Linked DNA regions of Arabidopsis thaliana. The protein of the gene in region 4 interacts with the protein of the main gene of each other region in a pairwise test. Each region holds a gene or a part of one and is shown on either strand. Other genes may lie near its edges.

Region 1 (6,298 bases), on a different chromosome or scaffold from region 4:
ATGAAGAAGAACAAACAGATATGATCGAAGCGGAGGCTTTAGTAGAGAAAGAAGTAATAGAAACTGTGAAGGAGAATAAACCTGAAGACTCGAACAGTATAGTTTCACATTCTCCGAGCATTTCTTGTCGTTCGGACACTAGCAATAACAGCATTGGTTCTTTCGCATTCCCACTGTAAGTCGTTCTCTTCAAAATCTCAATTTATCGATCCATTTTTGATGATTTCTTGAGCAAGAAGAAACTTTAAAACCCTAATTTTACTTTCTTTGGAATTTATGTAACAGATTGCAAAAAGAAGATGCAGTTACCAAAACGCCGTCTATGCAAATCAAAGGAAACGTTTCCCACAAGCGAAGACCCGAGTATCAGCTGCCTCAATCGCGAATGCTACAGCCACAACAACAACTACAACCTTATTCAGAATCTAATATGCTAACTGAGTCTCAGCCGGAACCACAACCACAAAGGAAGGCATCAAAAAAATTCGAGTCTCGAACGCAATCGCTAAAAGCTTCAAGAACCTGCTGGTTCTCTTGCTTCCATTGTCCTTCAAAATGCGGTTCATTCAAGTAGAGGAGACTTTTAGCGTTTGCGTTTGAAGCGATTCCTCTTCTTATGTGTAAATTGTACGGATGAAAATAGTTGTAAACCAAGAGTGATGATCCAAACCGAGTTCTGGTTTTCAGGATTAACACCATATTTTGGTTCGATTAATTTCGGTTACCGGATGTTGTAAACCGGTTGATGGATGATATAACTCTTATGTCATGGTGATGCATACATACAAGGACCACATTTCATTATTACTTTATTTCAATACGTATCATTATTATAAGTAGTAGCTAAAAGACAGATATATTTCACTAAAAGAAAAACAAACCTTTTTTTCTTCTAATTGAAAAGGTTATAAACTCAGTCTTTTTATCCCCATAAATGTGGCTAATGTGTTGTGTACATGACAAAATTATAAATTTATATTTAAGAAAAAACATTTTAATTTGCTTTATCTTGAAGCTTCCTTTAGTTATATCCTTGAAAAGAGGCGATTCTGTCCCTTTTTCACTTTACAATTTCTCAATATTTTTGTTATAAAGAAACACATCTTTGTCACATGCATTTATGTATAGTGGCAGGCGATTTTTCTTTTAGCGTGAGATTATGAAATTTTCCTAATATAATGCATGTCCATATACATATATCTATCTGTAATAAATGTTAGCTTCAAGATCTTAGCATAACATTGGTCGATGAGAGATTGATACGTCTAGGAGAGTTGAAATATTGTTACATTTATTGTGACTCAACATATTTTATTTCATCACTTCGAATAAACAAAAAATTTAAAATAATCTGTCCTCAAATTTAGTGATAAGATAATCTTGCATCTACCTACTGTTATCAATCATGTACCTATTGCGATTTGATGTGGTGAGACTACAATGATCGATGTTAAAAACTTTTAATGTTAACTTCACTACATGATCGATAAATAATCAAAAATTGCTTCTTCCAAGTTAAAATTACACTAAAGAGTTTGTTAGCCAATAGGAAATAAGGAAAGTGGACCCACTCTCTCATTCACAGAACGATTTTTTATTTTTTTCTGCATAAATTAAATTAAAAACATTTTTAAGATCTTTTATCAAAAAAAAAAAAAAAGAGAGAGAGAAGAAAAAAACGCGTCTTCCTCAGTGACAGTGTTGAATTCTCTCATCTCTTTCTCTCTCTGCTTCATCAGTTTCTCTCACTACAAAGCTTCTCATCATCTCCCTAAATTAGGGTTAAAGGGTCGAGCTTGGGATTGTTTCGCACGGTAAAAGGAAGGATCTTTTGCTCGTCAATTGCTATATTAGCAGACCTTGCGAGGTGGGTTTAGGGTTTTGTTGTAAAAACATTTTTGGGGATAAGTTACGAAGATGACTTCTTTGCCTTCTTCAGTGATCAAATGGCGTTTTTTCCGCAGACAGATGCCTTCAGACGTTGTCTTCTCGCTCTGCTTACTCTGTTTCGCCTCCTGTCTCGCCGGAAAAATCACTGTTTTAGCTGATTCGGACAAATCCGTGTTGCTTCGGTTTAAGAAAACGGTATCGGACCCTGGTTCGATTCTAGCTAGCTGGGTCGAAGAGAGTGAAGATTACTGCTCCTGGTTTGGTGTATCTTGCGATTCGAGCTCTCGAGTCATGGCTCTTAACATTAGTGGCTCTGGAAGTTCTGAAATTAGTCGAAATCGTTTCACTTGTGGTGATATTGGTAAGTTTCCGTTGTATGGGTTTGGTGTTCGGAGGGATTGTACCGGAAATCATGGAGCTTTGGCGGGGAATTTGCCTTCTGTAATCATGAGTCTCACAGGACTTAGGGTTTTGTCTCTGCCTTTTAATTCGTTTAGTGGAGAGATTCCTGTAGGAATCTGGGGAATGGAGAAGCTTGAAGTTCTTGATCTGGAAGGGAATTTGATGACGGGGTCATTGCCGGATCAGTTTACTGGGTTACGGAATTTGCGGGTTATGAATTTGGGGTTTAACAGAGTTTCAGGTGAAATCCCTAATTCGCTGCAGAATCTGACAAAGTTGGAGATTTTGAATTTGGGTGGTAATAAGTTGAATGGAACTGTTCCTGGTTTTGTTGGGAGATTCAGAGTGTTGCATTTGCCGTTAAACTGGCTTCAAGGCTCTTTGCCTAAAGATATTGGGGATAGCTGTGGAAAGCTTGAGCATTTAGATTTGTCTGGTAATTTCTTGACTGGGAGGATTCCAGAGAGTTTGGGGAAATGTGCTGGTTTAAGGTCGTTGTTGTTGTATATGAATACGTTGGAGGAGACTATCCCTTTAGAATTTGGGAGTCTTCAGAAGCTTGAGGTTTTGGATGTTTCTAGGAACACTCTTAGTGGTCCATTACCTGTTGAACTTGGAAATTGCTCTTCGTTGTCTGTTCTCGTTCTATCAAATCTGTACAATGTGTATGAAGACATTAATAGTGTAAGAGGGGAAGCTGATCTTCCTCCAGGCGCTGATTTAACCTCGATGACCGAGGATTTCAATTTCTATCAAGGAGGAATCCCGGAGGAAATCACTAGGCTTCCGAAACTAAAGATACTTTGGGTGCCCAGAGCTACGTTAGAAGGTAGATTTCCAGGAGATTGGGGTTCATGTCAAAACTTGGAGATGGTTAATTTGGGTCAGAACTTCTTTAAAGGCGAAATTCCTGTCGGTCTTAGTAAATGCAAGAACCTTCGTCTTCTTGATTTGAGCTCGAATAGGCTTACTGGGGAGCTTCTCAAAGAGATTTCGGTCCCATGCATGAGTGTTTTTGATGTTGGTGGAAACAGCTTATCGGGTGTAATCCCTGATTTTCTCAACAATACCACAAGCCATTGTCCTCCTGTTGTTTACTTTGACAGGTTTTCTATTGAATCTTACAGCGACCCGTCGTCTGTTTATCTCTCCTTCTTTACCGAGAAGGCTCAAGTTGGAACTTCCCTGATAGATCTTGGAAGTGATGGAGGTCCGGCCGTGTTTCATAATTTTGCAGACAACAACTTCACTGGTACTCTCAAGTCTATACCACTTGCACAGGAGCGGTTGGGAAAGCGAGTCTCTTACATATTTTCTGCTGGAGGGAATCGGTTGTACGGGCAATTTCCGGGAAATCTGTTTGATAACTGCGACGAACTCAAAGCTGTTTATGTCAATGTAAGCTTCAACAAGCTCTCAGGTCGGATTCCTCAGGGACTAAACAACATGTGCACTTCTCTTAAGATTCTTGATGCCTCGGTGAATCAGATCTTCGGGCCAATCCCAACAAGTCTCGGGGATCTAGCTTCACTTGTTGCTCTTAATCTGAGCTGGAATCAGTTGCAAGGTCAGATACCGGGTAGCCTCGGGAAGAAGATGGCAGCTTTGACATATCTTTCGATTGCGAATAACAACCTCACGGGGCAAATTCCTCAGAGCTTTGGTCAGTTACATTCCTTGGATGTTCTTGATCTCTCTTCAAATCATCTATCTGGCGGTATTCCTCATGATTTCGTAAACTTGAAGAATCTCACTGTCCTGCTTCTCAACAATAACAACCTCTCTGGCCCAATCCCGTCGGGTTTTGCGACATTTGCTGTTTTCAATGTTTCCTCCAACAATCTGTCTGGTCCAGTTCCTTCAACCAATGGACTGACGAAATGCAGCACTGTTAGTGGAAACCCCTATCTTCGACCTTGCCATGTGTTTTCTCTGACAACACCGTCTTCGGATTCCCGAGACTCCACGGGTGATTCTATCACGCAGGATTACGCATCTTCGCCTGTTGAAAACGCTCCATCTCAGTCGCCAGGAAAGGGTGGATTCAACTCGCTAGAGATCGCCTCAATCGCATCAGCTTCAGCGATTGTCTCGGTACTAATTGCTCTTGTAATTCTCTTCTTCTACACAAGGAAATGGCATCCGAAATCGAAGATCATGGCCACTACAAAACGAGAAGTCACTATGTTCATGGATATCGGAGTTCCAATAACCTTTGACAACGTGGTTAGAGCCACAGGAAACTTCAACGCAAGCAATCTGATTGGAAATGGTGGATTTGGAGCGACCTACAAAGCAGAAATCTCTCAAGATGTGGTTGTCGCAATCAAACGCCTCTCGATCGGACGGTTTCAGGGAGTCCAACAGTTCCACGCAGAAATCAAAACTCTTGGTAGACTTCGACACCCGAACCTCGTGACTCTCATCGGTTACCACGCTAGCGAAACTGAGATGTTCTTGGTGTACAACTATCTCCCAGGAGGCAACCTCGAGAAATTCATCCAAGAAAGATCCACAAGAGATTGGAGAGTTCTTCATAAGATCGCTCTGGACATAGCTCGAGCACTCGCTTACCTCCACGACCAATGCGTCCCACGGGTGCTTCACCGAGATGTTAAACCGAGTAACATCCTCCTAGATGATGACTGCAATGCGTATTTATCAGATTTCGGGTTAGCGAGATTGCTTGGGACATCGGAAACGCACGCAACAACTGGTGTGGCGGGTACGTTTGGGTATGTAGCTCCCGAGTACGCAATGACATGCAGGGTATCAGACAAAGCAGATGTATACAGCTACGGAGTGGTGCTTCTAGAGCTGCTTTCGGACAAGAAAGCACTTGATCCGTCATTTGTGTCGTATGGTAATGGTTTCAACATAGTGCAATGGGCTTGTATGTTGTTGAGACAAGGAAGGGCAAAGGAGTTTTTCACAGCGGGATTGTGGGACGCAGGTCCGCATGATGATCTAGTAGAGGTTCTGCATTTAGCGGTTGTTTGTACGGTGGATTCTCTGTCGACGAGGCCGACGATGAAGCAAGTTGTAAGACGGTTGAAGCAGCTACAACCTCCGTCGTGTTAGCACCTCCCTCCGCAGGATTTGATTATTATTCTTTCTTTAAAAAAAGTTCTCTCAGTTGTAAACTTGTATGTGTACGTAGTAGTTGTTAGAAGAAGAAAGAGAGGTTGAATTTCCTATGGGTTCTCTCGAGGGTAAAAAGGACATTTGAAAGGGGAAGCCATAGGAAGGTTGATCTCTCTCAGTAAGCAGAAAACCATAAAATGAGAAAGAATTGTTTGTAGCTAATTTGTTTCTCCCACTTGTAAATTGTTTTATACTAAAGTTTTGTGGGAGTTTTTCTTTCTTTTTCGATTTTTAGTATGTTTAAACTGCCGATCCTTTTTGTTTGATTGACATTTCCATTTTGAGAAACTTGGGCTATGGGCCCAATAATATATGCGAATAAAAAAACTCGGGCTATGAGCCCAATATTAACTTAGAAGACCGACAATGCTATCAGTATAATCCCCATAAGAAAGCAATTCCACCCATTTGGGTTTGAATGGTACATCATTGGGTCTTGATTCATGATTGTCGATCTTCTTCGGTAGTGGTCTGGCTTGCTTTGGTTGAGTTGGCATCTTCATCCTTCTTGAAAGACAGCGATGTGAAAGGTTCTTCTATGTATCTAGTATCAAATAGAGCGACTCTCGCTACTACATGCTACTTCCATGAATAGTTAACGCCAAGCGTATTGCTCGATAATAAAGACGAGTATATCCATCCATTGGCTCAACATTTGTGAAACATCCGTTCGTTGAGGCTAACGGTTTCATTTGAAGAATGGAAATTAGAGCTTATAGCCATTAGTGTGTTACGAAAGATCACCGTTATCAATCATATATAGCCCCCTTCTTGGCTCACTTATCGCATTAGTTACAAAGCAGTCCTGACGATCCACAATTAGACTTAGAGAGAAAACTTAGTTCTCTTACCATGGTTTTGC
Region 2 (6,785 bases), 7.4 Mb from region 4:
ATAAGGTGGCACCGGATTTGGGAACAATCACTGTAACATTAGACATACGTTTTGCGACAGGGATAACATCGCTGCTCCAACCAACAGTGACCCAGACATCTCCGACATTGAAAGCTTTTAAATAGTTGTTACTATCAAATAGTCTAATCTATAAGCAAAAGGGGAAACAAGATCAGCCACCATTGTCATTTTTTCTCAATAACTATAGAGGTTGAGTGAAACACGTCAGCCTAAACTCATCTGTTCTCTTTAGGGTATGGAGAGATAGTAAAGAGGTAATAACCTGTTTCATGAGTGATGCCAGATTTTTCTCCACTGCTAATCTTCCGCCAGGAACTTGTGAATCCAGGTCTGTCGTATTGTATGATGCTCTCATGTATTTGAGAACAGCACCAACAACCTCTCTAGGAGAATTCACCATTGCGATCCTTCCTGCAAGCTCGGGTCGCCACAGATCAGCCCAGTCCTAAATTCAGCAAAATGTTCAGTGATATTCACTTCTTTTAAATAGGAAAACACTAAGACAGCATTTAGCAACAACAAAGTATACCAACCTCTATCGGTGCCAATTTATAATTCTGAAATTTGCTCTTTTTGTATGCTATAACCATGGTGCCCCAGCGGTATGGCACAGCCCACGTTTCACCGTCAGGAGCTTTTTCTCCCGCATAGTTCCTGCGGAGATAAATCTGAGACTTTCTAAGTCATGAAATGAACCCTATGAACATTCCCAAGCTAGCAGAGTACGAAAACAAAACACATGAAAGATTATGCCTATTAAAATCTCTCAAGCTAGTGTTCTTTCAAAAAGACTCATATTCATATTGTTAAACCACTGATTTAAATTCTCACCTTCCATTTATCACTCAAGCCTTTATACCAGTCTTGATCTTCTATCCCTTTCATTGGCTCAATTAGCTTTTCCTTAATAGCAAAACTAAGCCAAGAATCACCAATGCTGATCATATCAGCTGCTGCAGTTGAAGCAGCCCCCTTTTTTCCATTCTTACTTGGTTTCGATAGATCGAAAAAGATCTCTTCAAGATTTCCTCGAAACTGAGTCTTTAACCTCACTCTCTTCCCTTGTGAGCTCATAAACTCCTAAATTCCATTCACAGAATCCAACAACATACATTTTCAACTATAAGCTTAAGATTCAAAATAGAAATGGAAACACAGACAAGTGAAACTAAAACCTTGATCCATGATGGTGGCACTGAGCCACGCAAGGCAACGAGTTTTAGCGGGACAGTAAGAGAATACACTTTAGACTTGTACGCTTCGAAATCAGCTTCCAGTTTTTCTTCATCTTCAACTTCATTTAGATTCTCTTCACCTGCAAAAACATTCCATTGGAACACAAAATTCAAATCCATCGAAATCCCAAGAGTGACGAAAATGTTCAATTTCACGCACCAGCTACAGTTTCTGTGTTGATTTCATTCTCTGTAACGACAATCGGCGGTGGTAGTATTCGAGCGGAGGCCGGAGAACAGACGCGGAGGCTACTTAAACCGATGAACAACACGGTCGAGGCAGAGAGACCAACGATCCTCTCATGAAACCGTTCGTCTCGAGAAACTCGTGCAATGGTGATTCCCCTTCCTCCGTCGCGTCGGTTTCCTCCGCAGTAGAAGCTCGCCGGCGGTTTCACGGAAATAATCGCCGCCGTAGCCATCGATATAACGCGATGGTGAAACAACGGACAACAATGGCTTCTAATCTCAAACCGGTTCAATCAAACCGCTGGGCTTATACCGTAATGGGCCTTAAAAATGGGCCCAATGATTTCGACCATTGTAGAGATTAGGCTTAGCTAAGGTCTAGCTGGCAATAATAATTGGGTTTTATGAAGAAAGCGTCGGTTGACACGTGTGGGAGGTCAAGATCGGCACGTGCGAGACCCACTTCGTTTCTTCTCATTGGTCGTATGCTTTGGAGAAGAAAGCATCTTCTTCTTCTTCACACACTCTCTCTCTCTCACTCTAGTTTTCTCTCTCTTCACTCTTACCATAAATCACACAAACAAAATAAAAAGTCGATTCCTTTTTTGTTTTTTTTATCTTCTCCTTAAGTTATATTTTTTTTTTTTTGCTTTACAGCTCAAATTAGTCATCTTCTTCTTCCTCTGTCTCAATTCTTCCTCCTCTCGGATCCATTTTTAGAGGTTCTTATAATTCTTACTAATTCTGTTTGCTTTTAAAGCTATAACCTTTGATATTGTTGGAAAGAGTGGGGTTTTGGGTCTTTTGCTGAATCGTTTTTTGGATTTGTTATATTGTTCGAATCTTCAGTTGTTATTGTGTTATAGGATTGGATGGTATCTGGGAATTTCGTAATCTATGTTAAGCTAGAGCTGTTTTTGAGCTCTTTTGTTGATGATGATTTTGAGATTGTTGGCCGAATTTAGCTCTCGTTTTCTGATTTTAGCAATTGGAAAGTGTGTATTGGTTCTTGTGAGGCAATTTCACTGTTTTGAGTACTCAAAATGTAGATGAGAGCATGCATAAGTTGTGTGGAGACTGAGCTTAATGTGTAGTGTAATTGACAATTAGTTTTGTGGGCTTTCCTTTGTTTTTCAGGAGTCTAGTTTCTTACTTGAACATAGACATGGAATCAACTAATAACTGACAACCAAGAGGCTGTTCTTTTCAAATGATTGGTAGTAGTTATATTATGCTTGGACAGTGCCATGATGGGCATCTGTGAGATGAAAAGCTGCTGCTCATGGCTTCTTTTGATCTCGTTGCTTTGCTCACTATCTAATGAAAGTCAAGCGATTAGTCCTGACGGTACGTCGATATGAATCAACTATTACTATTCATAGCGTCCTGGACCTTTTATTGAGCTTTAATCCTTTATTGCTTGTTTCCATTCTTCAGGCGAGGCGCTTCTGAGCTTCAGAAATGCAGTTACTAGATCAGATAGTTTCATCCATCAGTGGAGACCGGAAGATCCAGATCCATGTAACTGGAACGGAGTGACATGTGATGCAAAAACGAAAAGAGTTATAACCTTGTAAGTTTTCAAACTTGTCAAGGTTTACTGGTTTTCTCTTCAGTATTTGTGCTCCCTAATACTCTTGTTTCGCAGGAATCTTACTTATCACAAAATAATGGGACCTTTACCTCCTGATATTGGAAAGTTGGACCATTTAAGGCTTTTGTATGTGCTCTCTAGCCTTATTCATTTTTATTGCTTAAGAGAGTACTTCGATTCTGATCATCTGTGTGTCATTGCAGAATGCTTCACAACAATGCTTTATATGGAGCAATACCTACAGCATTGGGAAATTGCACAGCATTGGAGGAAATGTAAGCGCTTTTCCAGGATTTTATACTGATTCCACATGGTTTCTGAGAGACCAATTCCAGTTGCTTATGGTCATCAAAATTGTCCAACTGGTTTTGCAGTCACTTGCAGAGTAACTACTTCACTGGACCAATCCCAGCTGAAATGGGAGACCTGCCTGGCCTTCAAAAGCTGTATGTTTTTTTCTCTTCCCTATACGTACTTGCAAGTGCATCCTTCTTTTAGTGTATGCAATATCTATTTGTTTTTTGTTTTCATTTACTTCTATCACCATCTAGGATCATGGTAACATATGGTTGACTGCATAATGTCTTCTCATGCACATTATATTCAGAACTAGTTATACCTAAACTCTTGGTGAGCAATTTGAAAAGCATGATAATGTATTGTTTACTTCAGATTCACATATTGATTGTTCTCTTTTCTCTACTAAAACTGACTTTTGACTTTTTTATTTTATTTTCAAGGGACATGTCAAGCAACACTCTCAGTGGACCTATCCCTGCTTCGCTTGGGCAGTTAAAAAAGCTTAGTAACTTGTGAGCACCTTAATCTCTAACTTCCGCTGTAATTTATCATATTGCAGTCCTGTGAATCTTTCTGTTTCGTTTGTCTTATGAAGCAATGTCTCGAACAACTTCCTGGTGGGGCAAATACCTTCAGACGGAGTGCTCTCTGGATTTTCTAAGAACTCGTAAGACAATAAACACCCTTTTCTTCTTGTAGGGATAGAAAAATAAAGCCTCTAAAGTTACATTTTTTTTTTTTTTTTGTCAATCCTCTAAAGTTACATTTATACAGCTGATCTTTCATATTTCGCTTATATTCGAGATGATTTTTTGAACCACATAACTATTTAGCTAGATTGTATCAGTGCGACTGAAATTATATGATTCTCAAACTGATGCGTTACTACTACAGCTTCATTGGAAATCTTAACTTGTGTGGAAAGCATGTTGATGTCGTGTGCCAAGATGATAGTGGAAACCCTTCATCACATTCTCAATCAGGTAAAAGCAATTATGAATTTCTTGTGATATACAGGTTTTGTTGTGGCTCTCTATCAGTAAAGTTATATTTATTTGGTGTCTTATACTTTATAGGTCAAAATCAAAAGAAAAACTCTGGTAAGCTGCTGATTAGCGCATCAGCAACTGTAGGTGCGCTACTCCTAGTTGCACTCATGTGTTTCTGGGGATGCTTTCTATATAAAAAGCTCGGTAAAGTCGAGATTAAAAGCCTTGCAAAGGATGTTGGTGGAGGTGAGCCGTATTGATTTTTTTTGTACAGATATTATCTCGTTAAATATTGGGAAATTTCATATTTTTCTCTATCTCCTAAATCTTCATTGTGACTTTTTCAATTCAGGTGCGTCTATTGTGATGTTCCACGGAGATTTACCTTACTCTTCCAAAGATATCATTAAGAAGCTGGAAATGTTGAATGAAGAGCACATAATTGGATGTGGAGGCTTTGGAACGGTGTATAAGCTGGCCATGGATGATGGCAAAGTCTTTGCATTGAAGAGAATTCTAAAGTTAAACGAAGGGTTTGATCGGTTTTTTGAGCGGGAGCTTGAGATTCTTGGGAGCATCAAACACCGATACCTCGTGAATCTACGTGGATATTGCAATTCACCAACATCAAAGCTACTGTTATATGATTACTTGCCCGGTGGTAGCCTTGATGAAGCACTTCATGGTATGATCAATCTGCTCTTTATGGCTCTCTTCCATATTATGAATGATTCACTGAGAAGTTTGGTTCTTGAATTAGTAGAGAGAGGCGAGCAATTGGACTGGGATTCACGCGTAAATATCATCATAGGAGCTGCGAAAGGGTTATCATATTTGCATCATGATTGTTCTCCTCGGATTATACATCGTGATATAAAGTCGAGCAACATTTTGCTTGATGGCAATCTCGAGGCACGGGTATCGGATTTTGGTCTAGCCAAGTTGTTGGAAGACGAAGAATCTCATATCACAACCATTGTTGCAGGCACATTTGGGTACCTAGCTCCAGGTACATATGCCTTTTAAAAGTCTTTACTTACATAAAGATTTGATCTTTCAAATGCTGAGACTTTTCCATTTGACAGAATATATGCAAAGTGGTAGAGCAACTGAGAAAACCGATGTATACAGTTTTGGGGTTTTGGTTCTTGAAGTCTTGAGTGGGAAAAGACCAACCGATGCTTCCTTCATCGAGAAAGGCCTTAACGTTGTTGGTTGGGTATGCAAATAAGATTCTTTTTCAATACTGATATTTTGTTACGACAAACTTGACTAAAAAAGCTTTTGACTCATGATTTACAGCTAAAGTTCTTAATCAGCGAAAAACGGCCAAGGGATATTGTTGATCCAAACTGTGAAGGAATGCAGATGGAGAGCCTTGACGCTCTACTATCAATAGCAACACAGTGTGTGTCTCCGAGTCCAGAAGAGCGTCCAACGATGCATCGGGTTGTCCAGTTACTTGAATCAGAGGTCATGACTCCTTGTCCCAGCGAATTTTATGATTCCAGCTCTGATTAATTGCATAAACCCACCAGTCGAAACCTCGAGAAAAAAAGTAAACCGAGTCCGGTTTCCCGGGGAAAGCCTTCAAATGCTATTCGATTTCCGTTTTTGCTCCCCGAGAAAACCTGCAAATACCAACGAAGAGCCATAATTTTCCAGTTAATGGAACAGAGTCTTTGTGTTGTGTTGCCATTTACTTTGCCCCTCCAGTTTTACCAGATTCGAGCCATTCATTTTCAGCCCTTTCTCTTTTTGTTCTGATTTTTGGTATAAAAACTTTTATTTGAACATGAAATTGAATTGTATAGTTGTGACCTTTGTAGAAAAACTACTCTCTGCCTTTATGTTCTTTTGAAATAATCCATGTTCCTTCATCTTCTTCTTCTTCAGTCTCAATCAATCCTGATTCAGTTACAGAGAAGCTGATATCGATTCAAAACCAACATCGATTCAAAACCGGTTCATTAGCAGGGAAACAAATGTTAATGATAAGGGAAGTAGTTAGAGAATGTACAAGAAAGTTTCAGCTATCAATTTCTTTATGTTCCAAATCCAACATCAAATTTGTCGTTTGATGCAGCATTGAGTTGATCTCATCCATTTTTGGGTGTGATAATAGATCATCTCCAACAATAAACTCATGACCAACCCCATCAATCTCGATGGAGCTGCAACCAGGAAACTTTCTGATTCCCAAATCTTTCATTTTCCTTCTCACATTAGTTACATCTTCCCATCTATTAGCAGATGCATATACACTTGCAAGCAGAGTATGAGCACTGGAATCACTTACTTCCACTTTCTCAAGCTTTTCCGCTACCCGTTCTGCTATTTTTACATTCCCATAGTTCCTAGCAGCACTAAGTAAAGAACAGTATACAGGAACTAGAGTTTCATCGCTTTCACCACGCATCTTATCTATCAATTCCTCTGCTTCATCTAACAAACCAG
Region 3 (5,477 bases), on a different chromosome or scaffold from region 4:
TTCTTGTACAAGTAAAAGATCATAATAATAAGTAACCTACGGGTAGGCAAACTGTTTTTTGGTTTAGGGTTGGTTCAGATTTTATGGTTTTTTGGTTTTACAAAAACTGAAACCATATAGTAAAAGGTATAGAGACTACCACAACACAAAGAGCTGTTTAAAAGACTTATTCTTATTGATAATAAACTTTTGTTACAAGTATTATCTCAGTTCTTACTTGATCTAATCTACCCAAAAGATCAACCCCGACTAAGAATAACTAAGCTCTAATTCTCTTCTCTGTTTTTTATCACTAACCCGTGAAGACGAAGAGAACTACACACTCACCTTCAAGCTTTTGCACGGCTTTGAAGTTTTTACTTAGTATCGAAAAATATCCCAGAGTGCTCAAAGCGGCTCACCCTCTGCTCTAGAATATTTATATCAATTCCCCAGAACCCTAACCTTAGGATCTCCGAGAATCTCTTGATATGGAATCTTCCTTGTTTCCAAGCCTATTCCTTTCTTTATTCTTCGATATAATATCTTCTATATTTTCTCGATGAACCTTGTCTTTGACACCTCTCCAAGTTAACTTCCATCCTTGGCTCTTCACATCATTCGCCTTAGCTTGCCACGTTTGCTCTCGCATCCATGTCTGCACATCAAGCGTCTGATGAAACCTGATGCAGCGTCCTGAAATCCATCAACGATCTGATCACCATCAGCTGATTGATTCACTCTGCATCTTCATATAGAAATCGTATGTAATTTAGTTTGGTCAAACTTTCGGTATCATGAATCATATCCCTAGTTGTAACTAATGGCATGGTTCTCAAAAAATTCTTATACCCAACAAGAAACATAGTGCATTATGTCCCAATTGATGTATTTGTTCAATTGGTTTCATGAAACAATACAACGATTGTCTAAAATTGGGTAGGGAAGAGTTTAGGCCTGACCTGAATATTTGCTGAATAAGGCTTGGGTCAAAACTTTTGTAACTGGGCTTTGAACACCTTATTGGGCGGAAGTTTGCAAAGCCCACCAGATAAATATTTGCTTGATGAGTCTCTAAAAGTCTTGTAAAGATTGATATTTAATCTATGTTTATGGTTAAGGTTATTTCAGAATATTGTGGAGAGCAAGTAAAAAAAACAAAGATAGGAAATTATGATATAACAAATGTGGATGATTTAGGTTTAGGAAATAGCATTTTGTTCAAATATGTGGAGAATACACCATAAATGTTTATTTTCTTATAGTTATCCAAGAGGTTAAATGGTTTAGGTAATCGTAATTAAAGATCAATACGCTAAACATATGTAATTATTTTTTGCGTCAGCTGGATTTTATTATGTCAATTTCAATTACTTAAATCCTAATGCCATAATTCAGTAGCAATTTAAATAATAAAATAAATTAATTTGGATATCTATTCAAATGTACTGTCTCTTCGAAGATAATAATCAAACTTTAAATTCAACAAATATCATCAAAGCATGAAAATTCAATTGTTTCCAGCTACGTATTAATAGCTTTAATGTGGAAAAAGAAATATTAATAGCTTTTTTCATGGAAAAAAGAAAAAAAGAAAGAAACTTTACTTTTAATAGTATATTTTTGTCTGAGCCAATAAAAGAAAAATAATATTTTGGTTTAACATATTTGTCCCTCGTGATAGATTTGATTCGTTCGTTCTCCTTCTCCTTCATTAAAGACTTCACGATCCCACACCTCCACACACATTGACTCACACACACACACTTCTCTCTCCAAGTTCAGAAAAACCAAAAATGGGTTCTTGTCGGAAAACCACTTCTGGTTTTCAGCAAACCCACTTCTTGTAATAAAACAGACAAAACTAGAAAGAAGCAAAAAAGCTTCGTTTTTTTTTTCTCTTTCTCCAAAAAAAAAAACCCCCCCAAATATGGCGTCAATTTCATGGGTTTTGAATTCTCTATTCTCGATATTGCTACTGACTCAGCGAGTCAACTCGGAATCAACCGCAGAAAAACAAGCACTCCTCACTTTCCTTCAACAAATACCTCACGAGAATCGTCTTCAATGGAACGAGTCAGACTCAGCTTGTAACTGGGTCGGAGTCGAATGCAACTCAAACCAATCTTCAATCCACTCTCTCCGGTTACCAGGAACCGGTTTAGTCGGTCAGATCCCATCAGGCTCCTTAGGTCGACTCACTGAGCTCCGAGTTCTCAGTCTTCGTTCTAATCGTCTCTCTGGTCAGATCCCTTCAGATTTCTCAAATCTTACTCATCTGCGAAGCTTATATCTTCAACACAACGAATTCTCCGGCGAGTTTCCGACGAGTTTTACTCAGTTAAACAACTTGATTCGTCTTGATATCTCATCTAACAACTTCACTGGTTCGATACCTTTCTCAGTCAATAATCTCACTCACTTGACTGGTTTGTTTCTCGGTAACAATGGTTTCTCAGGGAATCTTCCTAGTATTAGTCTCGGTTTAGTCGATTTCAATGTCTCTAACAACAATCTAAACGGTTCGATTCCGTCTTCATTATCAAGATTCTCAGCTGAATCGTTTACTGGAAATGTAGATCTCTGTGGTGGTCCGTTAAAGCCTTGTAAATCGTTTTTTGTGTCTCCCTCGCCGTCTCCGTCGTTGATTAATCCTTCTAATCGTTTATCCAGCAAGAAATCAAAGCTTTCGAAAGCTGCGATTGTCGCGATAATCGTCGCTAGCGCGCTCGTTGCGCTTCTTTTGCTAGCTCTGCTTTTGTTCTTGTGTTTAAGAAAAAGAAGAGGAAGTAATGAGGCGAGGACGAAGCAGCCGAAACCGGCGGGAGTAGCTACAAGGAATGTGGATCTTCCACCGGGTGCTTCGTCCTCGAAAGAGGAAGTAACGGGGACATCATCGGGTATGGGAGGTGAAACAGAGAGGAATAAGCTTGTTTTCACTGAAGGAGGAGTGTATAGTTTTGATTTGGAAGATTTGCTTAGAGCTTCTGCTGAGGTTTTAGGTAAAGGAAGTGTTGGAACATCGTATAAGGCGGTGTTAGAGGAAGGTACCACGGTTGTTGTTAAGCGGCTTAAAGATGTAATGGCGTCTAAGAAAGAGTTCGAAACACAAATGGAAGTTGTTGGTAAAATCAAACATCCAAATGTTATTCCATTAAGAGCTTATTACTACTCTAAAGATGAGAAACTTCTCGTTTTCGATTTCATGCCTACCGGAAGCTTATCTGCTCTTCTCCACGGTTAGCATCTATTATCTTACTCAATTTTGCTCAATTTCATTGTTACTACACTATTAGTTAGATACATTGTGTAGAATCTTGGTTAGGTTTTGAGTTCTTATGGTTATGGTTATGGTTAAGATTTGGAACCTTAGTGAGATTAGGGAGTGATGATTTGATAATATTTTTCTAATGGATACTTGTGTGATTTTGCTTTGCTGGCAAGAAAAACATTCTTATTAGACTGCATCACATTCTTTAGATATTTTATTTTTGTTGAATTGTGGTAGTTATAGCTGGAGTTGTTATGCAATTATTAAAAGAGAAAAGTGTGTTGCCGACATTGTTATGTGTCTGTCTGGTTAGTGTCATAATAATTTATTTCATAATTTTGCTTCTCTCTCACTCTTTAAAGATTGGAATAAAGGAAAAGAAAAAGACTCTTCCACATGGGCTTTTCTCATCATCATATCTTAAACTCTTTTCCTTGAAGTAAACTTTTGTCTAAATGAGTGATGGAACTAAAGAACCTTTAGAATATGAATATTTTAATTTACTGAAAATGTATTTACAATTTAAAGCTTTAACCTAAGTTATGATGGGAATTATAATGTTAAGCTAGTACTATGAACATTTTGGTCTTTTGAAACTGTGTTTACATTTTGAAGTTAACTTGCAATATCTGGCTAATAGGTTTGTGTTTGTTTTAGGGAGCCGTGGATCAGGGCGAACTCCGTTAGATTGGGATAACCGTATGAGAATAGCGATAACTGCAGCGAGAGGTTTGGCGCATCTTCACGTTTCAGCCAAATTGGTACATGGAAACATTAAAGCTTCAAACATCCTCCTACACCCAAACCAAGACACTTGCGTCTCTGATTATGGACTGAATCAACTGTTCAGTAACTCGAGTCCACCAAACCGTTTGGCGGGTTATCATGCTCCTGAAGTTCTCGAGACACGGAAAGTAACTTTTAAATCGGATGTGTACAGTTTCGGGGTGTTGCTTCTTGAACTGTTAACAGGAAAATCACCAAACCAGGCATCACTTGGGGAAGAAGGTATTGATCTACCTCGGTGGGTACTCTCCGTGGTTCGAGAAGAATGGACTGCTGAAGTATTTGACGTTGAGCTGATGAGGTACCACAACATAGAGGAAGAGATGGTTCAGCTTCTTCAAATCGCAATGGCTTGTGTATCAACGGTTCCTGATCAACGACCAGTAATGCAAGAAGTACTAAGAATGATCGAAGATGTCAACAGAAGTGAGACAACCGATGACGGGTTAAGACAATCGTCTGATGACCCGTCAAAGGGATCAGAAGGTCAGACTCCTCCAGGAGAATCAAGGACGCCACCACGATCAGTCACACCTTAGCAAATGAATGGAATTGATTAAGAAGAAAGCAGCTTTAAAGTTTTTCTTGTTTGTGTTCACCTTTTTTTTTTTCTCCTCAAAAGGAGATAAAGAAAGGGATGAGATAAGTGTGTGAGGTCTTTGTTAGGTGTGAAGGTAAAGCAAAAAAGACTGGACCATCTCTGCATTTGGACCAACTTCTACAAGATGGCATCTCCCATCTATTTTTTTTTCAGTCTTCGAGATATTCTAGTGGTTATTATTTTTTCTTTTATTTGTATTTGGTGTTTACAATTTACAGGTTTAAATCAAAATTCAGTCTAAAACACTTCCAAGAAACTCACTCTTTTGGGTTTTATGCATAGTCACTAATTCTTCAGCTGTTTGAATAGATGATCTTTTTTTTTTTACCAAAAACTAAAACAGATGTTACTTTATTAGTTTACATTATTATCGACGTAAAATGATTTAAAAATAATAACTTGCATGTAGGAAGTATATATATGTGTCATATAGTAGTAGAAATAGAAAGAAAGAGATCCGGGTCGTCTTATTTGAACATATCAAGCGACTAATCAGTCATATGAGTCATTAGATTAGATTTGCTACTTTTCATCATACAATATTTTCCAATTGAAAGTGAGTTTTTTACATTTGCAATTAGATACAAGACCAAAGCCAAAAACAGTTTCCACTTTTGAAAGCTTGCTAGTAAGTCATTATGAATATGATTATTTCAAACATTAAGCTGTTAATAATTATAAAACTTTCATATTTAGTTGGTGGTCTGCATTTGGATTATTAAATAAAGATGCAAAAAATATCACAAAAATGCTCAAAGATTTCGTAACAAATGCTTCCAAAAAAACGCACACATATAACTAGTAAAATGTAACCAAAATATAACAAATTTACAAATTAAT
Region 4 (5,852 bases):
AAAGCAAGCAACATCTTGCTAGATGAGAATCTGATTCCGAAAATATCTGATTTTGGGTTGGCCAGGATATTCCCGGGGAATGAAGATGAAGCAAACACCAGAAGGGTCGTTGGAACATAGTATGTAACTCCATTCAACCATATGTTTACATCTTTTTTTTCCATTAAGAGTCCTAAAACCGAGAAAATAAATGTATCGTGCAGTGGCTATATGGCACCTGAATATGCAATGGGAGGACTGTTTTCAGAGAAATCTGATGTTTTCAGCTTAGGAGTGATACTCTTAGAGATTATCAGTGGAAGAAGAAACTCACATTCAACTCTTTTGGCTCATGTGAGTCTACTTTAACTCGTAAAGTTTCTTAACTCTCTTGAGATTGTCATCAAGCCATCAAAGCTTCTATGTTTCATAGGTGTGGTCAATCTGGAACGAAGGGGAGATTAATGGTATGGTAGATCCTGAGATTTTTGACCAACTTTTTGAGAAAGAAATACGAAAATGCGTTCACATTGCGCTTTTGTGTGTGCAAGACGCTGCTAATGATAGGCCAAGTGTTTCTACAGTGTGTATGATGCTTAGCAGTGAGGTTGCAGACATTCCAGAACCGAAACAGCCTGCTTTTATGCCTAGAAACGTTGGTTTAGAAGCTGAGTTCTCTGAGAGCATTGCTCTTAAAGCCTCTATCAACAATGTCACCATCACTGATGTCTCAGGACGTTAAAACCTGCAGAAATACAAATGTATGTGTAATTCGTGAAACTCTTAAGCATTGCCAGAGAATAACATATCATGTATCCATATAGATATGGTTATTTCTTATCCAACTAGTAATGTACAAGAAATTATTTTCATATGACAAATTTCCCACTGTACGAAATCAAATATAGCAAACAAGAATCATCATTTCTTAAAAGAAAAATCTCTTAAGCTTTTGCTAGTCCTTATAGGAGGAAGTTCCACAGATGCAAGAACAGGTTCTGAGCTTTCATGCGCAAGAGAATGATGTGTGGAAGTTTCAGCTTCTTGGTGTTGAGACTCAGGATCCCAAAATTGGTGTTCATGATGACCATGACCAGAGTATCTAGGAGAAGGAGAACTTGGGTAATTTTCAACGCTCCGGTTATTGAAATTGTGAAGGAGATGGATTGGAGATGAGCCATGTGTTGGTGTGGTTGGACGGCTAGAGAAAGGTGTGTTGGATCCCGAGTGTCTTCCGTGTTTCGTCTCGTTCTTTGCAGTGTGATGCCACTTCTTTAATGCCGTGGCTACTCTATCGTTGAATACTGTTGGCTTCATTTTACTACCCATCTGCACACAATTTTCATTCAACACAATGTAAAAAAAACTAAAGATCATATAACCAAAATCTGGCATCCATGTAACACTAATGTTTTCTAGTACCTGAGTAACAAGTGCATAGAGTGGAAGAGTCACATAGCTGCAAAGTATCTGCACAACAGCTCTGCAAGATTTATAAAAAGGGGGATTATACTTTTTCAGTTAAAGGACAAATTCTCAGAAGAATCAATAGTCAAGATAATGTTAGCTTACCCAACTACAAGTCTAATGACCACATCTGCAGTGCTTTCATGGAAACAATTATTGAGATTGAATTCATACTGCAAATACAGAAAATTTATGACATAACAATTAGTATAGCCCGTAACAGCGATGTTTTCAAAGAAAATGAAATGGCTCGCTTACCGTACTCCAGGCAAAGAATGCAAGTTGAAATGCATTCTGCAAAGATAAGAAAATTTATTCTACCGTTAGGAGAAAAAACCCGAAAAAGATCGAAAAAACGAGCGGTGAAGGATACAAGTATTGTACCGTAAAAAGGACCAAGTGAATAAGGAAAAGAATGAAGCGTGGCTTGCCAAACCAGAAGAGGTCATCACCAGGCTGAACCACTGGGGCGCCTCTCACCACATCACCTTTCTCTTGGATTCTTAGACCCAATTTTGTTATTATGACTTCAAGCTTTGTTCCAACTATTAGAATTACCTGCAGTTATATATTTTCACTCTGTTACAAAACTGGCGGCAAAAAGACAAAATCGGTTCAAGAGTTTGTTTGTACTTACGACTAGTGGAATGAATGGTAACCAGAGGTAAGAACGTAATCCTGTTTCAAAAGAAAACCGATGTCACTTTTGTGCGACTATTGATGCAGCTAAAATGTAGTTTTTGCGAGTAAGCAATGAACGTTACCATATGAATTGGTCAAGAGGAATAGCACAGCGACAAACCAGATAACCGGACTGCATAAAGTTGGCAGAGATTTAAGATAAAATATCCAAATTGGCTTTGCTCAGACTTTATAAAGCAATCATTATTAGATCCAAACCTGATTTCAACAACGGTTTTGAAGTCTTTCTCTAATGATCTCTGAATATACTTGCGGAAATCGAATCTTGATTCGTTACCGGGAGCAAAATGCGCCTGAAATATGTAGAATGTTAGATCATTGTCTTTGAGAGATACATGTTATAATGAACAATAGATAAAAAGAATAAATTCCATACCATGATGAAACCATGTCTTAGTGCTAAGTAATCAACTTTGGTGACAGATCCAAAGAACTGTCTAAAAAAACAAACAATCCATAGTGTGACTCTCGTCTTGCTCCAGAAATTGAGATGTCTTCTCCCAAAAGATGTGTCCCTCGCAAACCTGAACCTCTCAGGATCTGCATAACAAGACTAATTCATTCCCATTCAGGTCTTTAAGTTTCGTCGAATACTCACATATTTACATACCGTTGGAATACTGATACTCTATTGTCTTTGTCTCTTCCTCCCACGACTTCCACGTCCTCATCTGCAATACTCAAGAAAACAAGTATAAAAATCTTTTGCATACACTCTTTTTCTCGCCTTAACAACTGCGTAAGTCACAAGAAATGTTAGTTACCTTGATCTTTCCGAAAGCATAAGTAACAATGCAGTAAACAACATGAACAACCGCGAGCACGAAGATGAATATATGCAGCTGGTGGATTCCATAAGCAGATACAAAAGCCACTTTCCCCTGAGTAAATCCATCAATAGAAATCAAAATTCCATCGGTTTAACAAGCAGAGAATGATTTTTATATAGAGAGAGAAGGGAGATTATTAGTTACCTTCTCTGCACATTTGTCATAGCCTTTGGTGGCTAAACTTCTTCTATGGATATAAGATTCAGCTAACTCAAGAAGAAGTCTTCGACCGGGTTTATCTCCATCTCCATCATCTTTCTTTCCGGCGTCTTTCTTGCCGTATTTTTTAGCTTCTTCAGCAGCACTGCAAGGGTGCATTGTTGACGCAACTTTCTGGGAGATGCAGATATTTGAGATTGGTGTTTGTCCAATTGTGAGTAGTAGTGATATGAATCCCAACAGCATAAGCTCTGAATGAAGTTACGTAGAAAACAAAATCAGGAGCTTGTTAATGGATGAAGTTAAGTAGAAAAAGATAAGAAGCTTGTTGATAATGGATCAAGTTAAGTAGAAAAAGATAGTTACCTGCTTTGACCTTTTCAAGAGCTTCAAAAAGAGCCTGCTTGTGCTTCTTTTTAAACCACTGTTTAAGGCACAAAAAAAGGAATGATCAGATATTTTCGTTATTCTCACAGATTTAGTAGTGTTGATAGTGATAGGAGAAGAACTAAACAAATCCAAAAAAACAGAGCAGTAATTAAAGAAACAGAGCAGAAAGCAGAGCAAGAAACAGGGGAATCTTGAAATAAGGAGAAATATAAAGAGACTTACGGTTCCAATTTTGTGAATAGAATGTTCGAGGACAATCGAAATAAAGAGTAAGACAAAGCAAACAACAGCAACTGCCCACGTAGAGGTCTCCTCTAAAGTCCGCTCTTTTACTTGATCTGCCATTAGAGCTTAATCCTAAGAAAAAACCCCAAATAAGATTCTTCTAATTCCAGACCAGAGATCTTGTCTTTTTATATATAAATATAGAAACACACGAAGAGAAAGAGAGACACAGTCAGAGTTTCGTGTTCTTCTTTTGATCTAACTTCTCTCTATATTGAATTAGTACGCTACGCAATTTTGAATCTGGTCATAATATAGAGCAGACGAAAGAGGGAAGAAGAAGAAGAAGATAAGACCCGCAACGAGAGACTGTAAACTAAAGAAGGCGTTATTCGAGAAAGCTTCAACGTTTTGACTTTTCTTGTTGTTCCTCTCATGTGACGAGTGACGACGACTCCTCAATTATCAGCATAACCATTATTCTTTTTGGTCTACTTTATTTTGCTTTTTATTGGGTCAATCATCGGTGTTTTGTTTCTATTTTAAATCTATAACATTTTGGTTTCAGCTCGTTAGATTTTCAGAATAAAATAAAGCAAATTTTGAATTTTTTGATTCATTAGTCGTTTATTTTTGTTGGTATAATACTCCCATTTTGTGTACTTTGGAAGCCACTAGAGATTGTATAAGTATAAATAAGAATAACATTACTATAATGGGATCTTTCGTTGGAAAGTTCGTCATTTTGTTTTGTCTATTCCCAACTTGTTTGTTATATCTAAATAATATGCTCGTAGATACCAAGATTCAAGATATAACCATGCTCCTTTTTTTAATTTAAATTTTTACCAAAATGTAAATTTTCTATATATAAAAAAAGATATATTAATTGCTACTTGAAATTTATACAAGAAATTTCACCCATAATTGCTACTTGAAATTTGAAAATGATATTTTCCACCACCACCAATGACTGATTAAAAAATAAACTGATTTCTAACACACCTTACCACCCAAAACCTAATAAAAACTTTAAACTGTACCTCTATTTCTAACACACCCAATTAAAAGTGACTGATAAGTTGTCAAAACATTATTTTGAAAGATACATTGATGATGTGATTGTTTTTTTCTACAAAAATTTCAGTTTCGAAGTTTACCCATTAACGTGTTTTTTTTTTTTTGTTTTTTTTTTCTTGTTAATATCCTATATTTTATTAAATTTTCTTACTATCAACTGTACAAAAGTTTTATCATCCATTATACTATCTATAATGGAATTGTAATTTTATTACACTTAGATGTAACTAGAATTGTAAATATATTATTGTAGCAAACATTTGACTATTAAATTAATTACGTAACCTGGTTTTTATTTTGCCTTTTAATGAAATTATAAAAATTGTATAGTTTGAAAAATATGATACTATGACTATTTCTTATATCTTAAAATATTATTGTCAGATAAAAGAGTTTGGGATTTTTTGATAAGTTGTACTCTACAAAATATTCGAAAACAGCCTGTACAGTTGAACAGAGGCATGCAGCAATGATTAATAATTAATAGTTAGATAATTAGAATGTTAAGTGGAAAATTGTTGTATTTAGCTGACTTTCCAGTTTCCAATAGCCATCGCCCATCGAATGTTTATTTAATCAACATTCTTTAAAATAATGAGAGTGTTTTGCTTACTTGGCACGTGATTAAAGACTACTGACAGAAAAAAACAAGATTAAACATCTAACAGAAATAACATCTTTAAACTATGATTGCAAGTAGATATATATATATATATATATATATATATATATCAGAATAGTTGAAGAAATTACTGAAGAATCAATCAATATACACAAACAAAATTATAGTTTTTCTCCTTCGACAATATACGTTTAGAATTTAAACTAAACGAGATCCATATATACATTTTTTTTAATTTATATTTACTTTGATTGCATATGAGATTGATTGTACATGTACATATATGTTTATGATTATTAGTTAAAACTGATCGTGCATGTACATATATAAACTATGGAGAGTGGATTATAAGATTGTAAAAACTCAAATCTTTCTCTATAATATTTAACACGTGTTCA

Evidence for each region.
Region 1: the proteins of MLO2 (region 4) and RPK2 interact in a protein complementation assay, tested with the Arabidopsis thaliana proteins (one large-scale study listed by BioGRID).
Region 2: the proteins of MLO2 (region 4) and FEI1 interact in a protein complementation assay, tested with the Arabidopsis thaliana proteins (one large-scale study listed by BioGRID).
Region 3: the proteins of MLO2 (region 4) and AT2G26730 interact in a protein complementation assay, tested with the Arabidopsis thaliana proteins (one large-scale study listed by BioGRID).

Annotation. Positions count from the first base shown.
Region 1 is NC_003074.8:378,809-385,106, forward strand, and holds RPK2 (receptor-like protein kinase 2), read left to right. Parts: upstream 1-1,541; 5' UTR 1,542-1,917; coding exon 1,918-5,373; 3' UTR 5,374-5,774; downstream 5,775-6,298. Other genes in the region: AT3G02125 (pinin-like protein), read left to right, coding at 1-175, 286-574.
Region 2 is NC_003070.9:11,247,668-11,254,452, forward strand, and holds FEI1 (Leucine-rich repeat protein kinase family protein), read left to right. Parts: upstream 1-1,950; 5' UTR 1,951-2,692; coding exon 2,693-2,792; intron 2,793-2,882; coding exon 2,883-3,018; intron 3,019-3,093; coding exon 3,094-3,165; intron 3,166-3,242; coding exon 3,243-3,314; intron 3,315-3,413; coding exon 3,414-3,485; intron 3,486-3,779; coding exon 3,780-3,851; intron 3,852-3,934; coding exon 3,935-4,006; intron 4,007-4,233; coding exon 4,234-4,322; intron 4,323-4,415; coding exon 4,416-4,574; intron 4,575-4,680; coding exon 4,681-5,013; intron 5,014-5,088; coding exon 5,089-5,337; intron 5,338-5,413; coding exon 5,414-5,547; intron 5,548-5,630; coding exon 5,631-5,849; 3' UTR 5,850-6,248; downstream 6,249-6,785. Other genes in the region: AT1G31410 (putrescine-binding periplasmic protein-like protein), read right to left, coding at 1-148, 284-466, 555-689, 853-1,101, 1,197-1,336, 1,417-1,678; AT1G31430 (Pentatricopeptide repeat (PPR-like) superfamily protein), read right to left, coding at 6,358-6,785.
Region 3 is NC_003071.7:11,386,712-11,392,188, forward strand, and holds AT2G26730 (Leucine-rich repeat protein kinase family protein), read left to right. Parts: upstream 1-1,586; 5' UTR 1,587-1,909; coding exon 1,910-3,218; intron 3,219-3,907; coding exon 3,908-4,575; 3' UTR 4,576-4,971; downstream 4,972-5,477.
Region 4 is NC_003070.9:3,799,999-3,805,850, forward strand, and holds MLO2 (Seven transmembrane MLO family protein), read right to left. Parts: upstream 4,236-5,852; 5' UTR 3,873-4,235; coding exon 3,750-3,872; intron 3,698-3,749; exon of another isoform or gene 3,562-3,697; coding exon 3,504-3,561; intron 3,389-3,503; coding exon 3,123-3,388; intron 3,030-3,122; coding exon 2,913-3,029; intron 2,820-2,912; coding exon 2,759-2,819; intron 2,689-2,758; coding exon 2,525-2,688; intron 2,442-2,524; coding exon 2,347-2,441; intron 2,261-2,346; coding exon 2,211-2,260; intron 2,125-2,210; coding exon 2,084-2,124; intron 2,005-2,083; coding exon 1,831-2,004; intron 1,741-1,830; coding exon 1,705-1,740; intron 1,620-1,704; coding exon 1,552-1,619; coding exon of another isoform or gene 1,548-1,551; exon of another isoform or gene 1,463-1,547; coding exon 1,402-1,462; intron 1,309-1,401; coding exon 901-1,308; 3' UTR 722-900; downstream 1-721. Other genes in the region: AT1G11303 (G-type lectin S-receptor-like Serine/Threonine-kinase), read left to right, coding at 1-119, 204-333, 413-721.